Oryzias latipes: one gene and its partner. The protein of the gene in region 2 interacts with the protein of the main gene of each other region in a biochemical or structural test. Links are inferred from orthologs where the notes say so. Each region holds a gene or a part of one and is shown on either strand. Other genes may lie near its edges.

The links.
Region 1: the proteins of kpnb1 (region 2) and kpna4 form a complex in vitro, tested with the Homo sapiens proteins (2 studies listed by BioGRID and IntAct, with this or other methods). The link is inferred for Oryzias latipes from reciprocal best matches to the Homo sapiens genes KPNB1 and KPNA4.

What each region holds. Positions count from the first base shown.
Region 1 is NC_019871.2:13,522,551-13,526,838, reverse strand, and holds the start of kpna4 (importin subunit alpha-3), read left to right. Parts: upstream 1-1,487; 5' UTR 1,488-1,649; coding exon 1,650-1,718; intron 1,719-3,670; coding exon 3,671-3,715; intron 3,716-3,860; coding exon 3,861-3,950; intron 3,951-4,288. UniProt on the Homo sapiens protein: Functions in nuclear protein import as an adapter protein for nuclear receptor KPNB1. Binds specifically and directly to substrates containing either a simple or bipartite NLS motif.
Region 2 is NC_019866.2:174,197-178,150, forward strand, and holds the start of kpnb1 (importin subunit beta-1), read right to left. Parts: upstream 2,804-3,954; 5' UTR 2,516-2,803; coding exon 2,476-2,515; intron 1,798-2,475; coding exon 1,739-1,797; intron 1,191-1,738; coding exon 1,008-1,190; intron 940-1,007; coding exon 739-939; intron 1-738.

The DNA of each region.
Region 1 (4,288 bases), on a different chromosome or scaffold from region 2:
GCTGGGAATAAGAAAATAAGAAACCAAGAGCATTAAGGGAAAGCTTTTGGGTTTTGAGGATATACATTTATATATAGATATATAAATAGATATCTATATATCTATCTATCTATATATATAGATAGATAGATATATGATATATATATTTTTATTCAAAATGTGTTTGTCTTCTGAAACAAAATGATATTGATTTAATGACTTGTACCAAATCAGTGAGAACTTAACCCTTGTGCTTTCCTGTGGGGTCCAGATGACCCGATCCTTACATTGACGTGTTCTTCCTACCATGACAAAGGTGGATTAAGGTGAATAGGATTTCATGTAATCCATGGACACCAGTGAAATCATTGAAGAAAAAATGTTCAGCGCACTGTCTTGTGGGGTCTAGATGACCCAACTCCCAATGTTAAAGTGACTCAGATAGCACAAAGGTTACAGCAGATTTATTAGTTCCCAAATGAATAAAGTAAATCTCTCATGTTGATGTTTTTTTTAATATTGGAACTTCAAATAAATGTAATTTTTATGAAGATTTTGGGTTTAAGGTGTTAAATATAAATATTCATAAAATATTATGGAAAAGTATAGTCATTTCCATGATTCCATTGAAAACATTGTCCAGATTAAAATAGTTTAAAACATCCGTGCCCCGCAGAATTTGGACAGATTTCACCACAGTATTCAGATTTACTAAAAGTTTGTTTTCGTGGTTTTAATGAGGTGGAACCCAAATTTATGTAAAAATAAATAAATATTAGAAATCAATTAAACAGTACACTATATTCAATTTTTAGATCTAATTATCCAAATGAATAGACTTTTCCATGATGCTCTATTTTTAAAATGGTATTCAATAAAAATCGTGATACTACTGATAATTTTGTAGTTGTAATATCGAATATAATGGCAACATGGTGTGAAACTGGGAATTACATTTTTAGCATTGTATTGTAGAGAAAAAAGACAGTTCTCCGATCTAGAATGCCTTACTTCTTAATACTATGCCAAAATTGAGCAATCCTATTCCCTTTTTTTATTCAGATTTTGACTGCCTTATGAGAAATAGCATAAACTAATTCATTATATATATATATATATATATATATATATATATATATATATATATATATATATATATATATATATATATATATATATATATATATATATATATATATTATATAATATAGTATAATAGTACATAGTATAATATATAATATATATATATCTAATATATATATAATTTTATTATAATAAAAAGAATTTAGAATTTTACAATTCCCTAATGAAAACTCCTTAAGAAATGATGCGACATGGATAGGGTTTTAGTGAAATGACATATTTAAGTTTAGGTGATCACGAATCAAACGTCTGCCTTCCTAAACATGAGCAGACGTGAGTCGGTATAATGCGGTGTCTTCTGCACACAGACGTGAGCGGTGAAACCAATGAGAGTGAGGGGGATTTCCCCACCCTTCCCTTACGCCAGAGCGAGGCTGCCCTCTACCACCGGCATTCCCAGTATGCACCGCGGACCGAGCAGCAAAAAATAGTCCACTAACGAAAGACTGCGAAAAGGGAACCAGAAACAGATAGCTTACCGGCTAAAACTCTGTCCAGTAATATTTAACGTAATCAGAACTACTAACATGGCCGACAACGAGAAACTGGACAACCAGCGACTAAAGAATTTCAAGAACAAGGGCCGAGATTTGGAGGTAAAAGTTGCGAAGATCGGTGTCCTCGCTTTCGTCTGCACAGCCGCCGCGCTCAGCCTTGCCCCTCGGCTCCGTTGTGACGTCGTTTCTAATTTACACCACGGGCAACTTTGCTGCCAGAAACTGGCGAGGGCCTTCAGAAATCAGTGTTTATTGGAGGCTGGAATCGTTGGGTCAATTTCGAACTGGTTTCGTTTTATCCCGAAACCGTGTTGGGTGTAAAACATGTCAGAAAAGCCTCCGCTGGATCAGCTCTGCTAGCCACCAGCTAGCAAGGCCTCCGGGAACATGCTAACTCCACTGATGCATATCATCCCCCAGTTCGGTCTCGCTCGGTCAGAAATGTTAACAGCTTGCATACAATTATTTACAAAGTACTTTTACGTTATCTTCTGAGAATGTGGTGTTAAGTTAAGCTAAAACAACGACAGATGTTCGTACTTCTAACATTGCAGTTAGCCCAACTGCGTGCTAGGTTAGCGCGGCGGTGCTGTTGGCTGCAGTTCCACCCATCCCCCGTCTTTATAATCAAAAACAATGGCGGAAACAAGTAAGCTTCTAACATGACCACTTATATTAGGCTCAAGTCCACACCAATAGTAATATAGTTCTATTTTATGCGTTAATAGGACGTATTCTCAGGAGAGCAGTCTCCCCTTAACACGTTTACTACATGATTCATAGATCAAAGCTGGACGTTGGTTCATCATGTCGGATCAATAAGTTACCAGGTGATTTACAGTCAGGTCAACGCGTAGCTGTTAATGCATTCCAGCTAGTATTGATATCGGTTTCAGGTGGGGTTGCAGACGCAGGAAACCACGCATCCTGTTTGAGAAGGTACATATATGTTGCGAGGGGGGCGTCGATGATTGTTACGTTAATTATTCGACTTTCAACTCGAGAACCGCGCGTGAAATTCGTTTCTCCAATGATAAACTTTAAGCATCAACACCAAGGTTCAATACTTAATGTAAATAACTTCTAATGCATGCAAAGGTTCACGAGGAATTGAGTCAACAAACATTGTCAATTTGCATTTACTTTGCCTCCACTGTGTGCATCTGACGTAGAATTGTTTCAGAGGGCGGCGGCCACGTGGGACAGTAAAGCTGCACCTTTACCGTGAATAGAAACACATCTAATGTCACATCATGCACTGCAACCTGTAGACATATCCGCTTCTGAAATAAATTTGGCTTGATGTAATTACTAAGCTGGTAGCTGAGGGAGGAAGTGCGTGCGATTTTCAAGATGTTTTTAGTGGGTTACCAGATCACTTCTCTCATTCATAGTTCTATTTTAAGTCATCTCTGTCATATGACATTAATATGTTTACTATTTTTGGTCAGTGTTATCACTAATAAAACAACTGACTGTGTGGACACAATTGAGACATAACTGGTCATAGTGAGGATCCTAACAAACTATGGTTTTAATATTTGCAACAGGTTTTGCTTGACTAGAAATCGAATAAAGTAATGGGTAGATGAATAATCTTGTATAGGAAAACCCTAAAAGTGATCCTTAAGGTCTTCTTCCAGTCATGTTGTTTTGTTGTAACTATTAACCTGCTTTTTCTTTTTTATTGAAAAAGCTTGCTATACTACCATTTCCTAAAAATGCAGTTCCCATTTTTGCCATTTTACTTTTTTTTCTTTTTGCATATGATACAAATATGTCAAAAAAGAACAATGAAACCTGAAAATGTAAAAATGATGTATCGGTCAGGTACTGTAGTTCTTAAAGCTGAGTTACATTTAGTCAGACTTGTGATACTCATTTGTAGTTGCAGACCTCTGCTTTATAGATGCTGTAGACTTAATGCCCAGACGACCTGCATCATCAATACCCGAATATACACAGTACCCTGATATTCTCATTTATTTCTCTAAATTTGTTTGGAAGGTTGAAATTTCCTAATTTAACTAAATTTAATATTTTCCTTGCAGACGATGAGAAGACAAAGGACTGAGGTTGTCGTGGAACTTCGAAAGGTAAATAAACTCTTTACTTAAGCCATTATTTAATTAATATTGCAGAATGCTCTCAGAATTGAATATTCAGCTATATTTTATATATACTTTGCAGTAACATAAATGGATGATTAGTGAAGTGAGCTCACTAACTTTTTCATTACAGAACAAAAGGGACGAGCATCTGCTGAAGAGGAGAAATGTTCCCCACGAGGACCTCTGTGAGGACTCTGATCTTGATGGAGATTTCAGATCAGTGAGTTTATCTTTCAAATATTCCTTTTTTACACCATTATTCAGAAAAACCATATATTGCATGTTTGAATTGCAATACTACTATTAGCAACAGGGATGACAGCTTGTCAGATATGGTATAGACTGAATTTGTACTGAGATTTTGTACATTTTTGGAAAGTCTTCAGATGCTGAGCAGGTTAGGTTTAGACTTTTGCATTTAGGATGCTGCTTTATTTTGTACTGACTAGGTGGGGCAAGATTGTTTCAAAGTGTGCAGTTTGTCTTGCTATGTACTCATTTTTCTTGATCAATGTGCACAAAAGCTTCAGTTGTTGCTCAAGATACTTACAGGCACAA
Region 2 (3,954 bases):
GGTTTCAAACCAGAAAAACTCGATTCACCATTTTAAATCGGCCGCAGCGGCGCCGGTTCTGGACGCAGCGGCGCCGGTTCTGGACGCAGCGATTCTCCGACTTGGTTCTACCGGCTTAACCCTACGAAGCTGAAGAACCTCAGCAGTTTGATTGATCCTCTTTATTGATCTGAGCGTTTAGTCCACGTGATCAATACCTGAGACATCCATTAATCTCTGCTTGAAGCTGAATTTCAGACCTCAGAGGTCAAAGTTCAAATGACCAACAGACACATTTGAATAAAAACTGAAAACAAACTTCCACTTTGTGGCTAAATGTCACTTTTCACGCTGAAACATTCTGCTCTGTTTATTGACGTCTCATGGAGGCGGAGCTTAAATTCAAGTTTCTTCTTCCTTCCTGAAAAATATCTACCCTAAAGAAAAAACTGCAGCGAGATCCTGGAGGTTCTGACAAACGTACGGATCGGGCCGCCTGCTGAGACTCTGAAGGACGGGTTCTGATCCCACAAGAACCAAAGGTTCCTGACGTGATCGGTCCGAACCCGAACCGGGACGCAGACGGCAACGACCGAAGCGTCTGCTGCTTTGAGGAACCGGGAACGTAGAGAAACCAGAGGATGGAGGACAAACCGCCGTCTGATATCGATGAGGCCATGCAGCAGTGGGAGGGGCCCAGAACCCTCCAGAACCTGGAGAGGGCCCGGCAGGTCCCACGTGACGGGACGCGTCACTCACAATGTCCTGGCAGATGTAGCCGATGGCCTCCAGCGTGGACTCCTTCATGTGCTCGGTGCTGGACGGGTCCGTCACGTTGGCCACCAGCTGAGGGATCAGCTCGGGCCACTGGTTGACCGGGATCTCAGCGCAGGCGATGCCGGCGACGCACTGCGAGGCGGAGCTGGGCCGGTACGTCTCTGTGCCCAGAGTTTGGAGGACCTGCAGGAGAAACACGGACCCGGTAAGCTCCGCCCCCCGCTCAGACAGCCGCCTTCAGCAGCACTTACGTAGTTCTTGATCTCGCGGCGAGCATTGGCGTCGATGGCGAGCCATCTCTGCTGGTACTGCGTCTTCACGTCAGGATCTTTGGAGGTCAGGGAGTTCTTCACCTGCAGGCCCGCGGCCACCCGGGCCACCTGCGTGTTCCCCGGGTTTGCCAACACCTTGGAGAGCTCCACCAGGAAGGTGGGCTGGGGGGGGGAGAGAGAGAGAGAGAGAGAACGAGAACATCAGCGGGGGGCCTTCAGGCTCGGACCGCCGTGGAACGAAAACCTGAAGGCCCGCCCCCAAACCCAAAGGAGGTCCTGAGACCGAAGCCACTTCAGGGTTCTAGTCCAGACTCTGCCTGCAGCCAAAATCTCTCCCATCATGCTTTGCAGCATCATTACATACAGTCTGAGCATCACAGTAACGGCACAGGCGGGACTTCCTGGTTCCAAAAAGGTCACATGATGCCGCGTCATGCTAGCAGGTAAACCCACATCTGTTAGCATGACCGGAGGACGGAGAGCAGAAGTGCTTATGGCTTCACTCCCGTGACTGCAAAGCATTGTGGGATTGATCCTAGTCTGACCATCAAGAAGGGGGTTCCGGACCTCCTCTGGATTACTGGACTTTAGGGGAAACACAGGTCTTTGGGGGAGACGTCAGAGCTCACTGAGTGAGTGCGCGTGCGCCAGCTGATCACGGATGCTCCGTTCGCCCGGCCGCCCCGCACCGCCCCGCAGACCGAACTTACCAGGTTCTCCACCGCCGCCTGCTCCAGAAACTTCTGCGCCGCCTCCAGCTCATTCCGATCTGCGGAGAGAGGGCAGAGGTCAGCCAACGCCGGCCGGCCTGCAGCCGCACCGACGCCCGGGCCGGGTCGGCCCGGACATTTCCGCCATCACCTAATCAGTGGCCCACGTGGGCCGCGGACCTGAAAACAGAGCACGATGCGTTCACGGACTGCGTCTGAACCACGGGTAAAGCGCGCTAGATTAGCATGCTAGCATTGCTAAAGGCGCTCGTTAGGAGTCCGTTTGGTTCTCCAGACAGCCGCCGAACCCAGCCGAACCGGCCTTCAACAGCCAAGTGCTGGCAGCCTAACGCGCCCGCTGAACGCTCCCGCGAGGACGCTGAGGCTCGAGAAGGAAGCGGCTGCTAGCATTAAGCTAACGGCTAAAGCAGCCGCCGCGCCGGCATGGCATGGATGGGCAGGGTCGCTCCGGTAACCGGTCCTGCGGCTTCAGCCTGCGCTCCTGCTCGCCACCGCAAACCGGAAACTTCCCCGCCGCTGAGGGCCACAAATTTACCGGACTTTACCTGCTGGTGGCGGGGTTCCAACTGCACCGGCAACGCACGAATGACGAGTCCCGACTCAGGCCGGAGCCTTAGCACCGTTAGCCCTGCCAGCTAGCATCTGCCCGGTGTCCTTCCTGCAGACCCGGACCGCCAACCGGAGCCCAAACAGCGGACGGGCGAGTGGGCGCTTACCCGGAGAGACCGTTTTTTCCAGGATGGTAATGAGCTCCATGCCGCCGCCGCCGCTCTCGTCTCTCACACGTTCTGTAGCCGCGCACCGCCGCAGCGGATTATATTTCTTCCACGGTGCTCAGTCGGTGCCGTCGGGGCGAACTCGGTTCGCTGCGGAAAAGGCGGGAGCTCTCCGGTGTTCGCTCGGTGCTTCTGACTCGGATGATGCGGGGAAATGTTTACGATCGAGGCAAACAGCAGCGCGTCGAAGCTCCGCAGCCGCCCATCCGCATCCTGAATCGTCGGGAGGGAAAGGACCGCGCGTTTCACCCACGCGGAAGGATATCACGCACTGACGTAAAGACACGACGTGCTGCCTTCAGGGGGCGTGGGAGCTTTCAGGAGGCGATTTCTGGATGAAGTAGCGGAGAAAGGCTGTTTTTCTGACACTGCAGCACAACAGCTGCGTCGTTACTGCACGATGGATTTGTGCTTTTATTGAACATTTTACTGTTGGTAAAGATCTTCTGCTGAGTACAGGAAGAGGTCAGAGGTCAGAAACATGAAGTCTACAGCCAAACCTTCTGCAGGACAATGAAACACAAAGAATCCTCTGAACACATTCTTCTAGAGGTTTGGTTGACAAACATGACCGTCACTGTGAAATGTCAAAGTCCCGCTCCAATCCTCTTCTGATCTAAAGTCTTTTCACGATGATGTTACTGTTTTTAGCCAAAATCCAAACATCTGGGTCGTTTTCTTGGACTTAGTTTCTGCAGAGTGCCAGGAGTTCATCAGAAATTCACCTCTGGGTTGTGGGTGGGACTATTGGTGCAGAGTAAGCCTGCCCTCATTTCCCATCATCCTTTTGTTTATACTCTCCCCCTCTAGCGTACAGCCCCTCACACCCCCAAGCTAGCATTAGCGGTGCAGCAACATCAGATCCATCCATCCGTCCAGTTCAGATCCAGATTCCGGCTCAGACCAGGAAAACTGAGACCTTCATGGATCTGTTGGTCTGCAGAAGGGGGCGGAGCCTGGAGGCTTCTATGTCACCGCTCAAAGCTTGATCAAAGGACGTTTTGTCATCCGCTCCTGATTCACAAGGATCTGAATAAAGAAAGGGTCAGGAAGGCCGATCCAAAGTCCAGCATCAGAAAAACACCACAAACATCATTTTCACGGGTCTTTGACTGCTTCATCTTCAAACTCAGGGAAGAATATTCTGGATGGCGCTGAAGCACCATCTCCACTCCACGAGAAGGTGCTGCTGACCCCCCAGTCCTGAAGGAGCAGCGGCGTGGGATTCGCCTTGTTGCTGCAGCCGCGTCATCTCAGGCAGCTGGAGGACGGCAGCAAACAGGAAGAGCTTCCCCGTGGCGTTTTTGCAGGAAATGCGATTCGTCTGGTGATGGTTGCTCTTCATCACACAGCTGTCTGAAACCTTTTCCTCTATTTTCAGAGCTTAGTGTTTTTTGATTCTCCTCAGTTCCCTCCAGA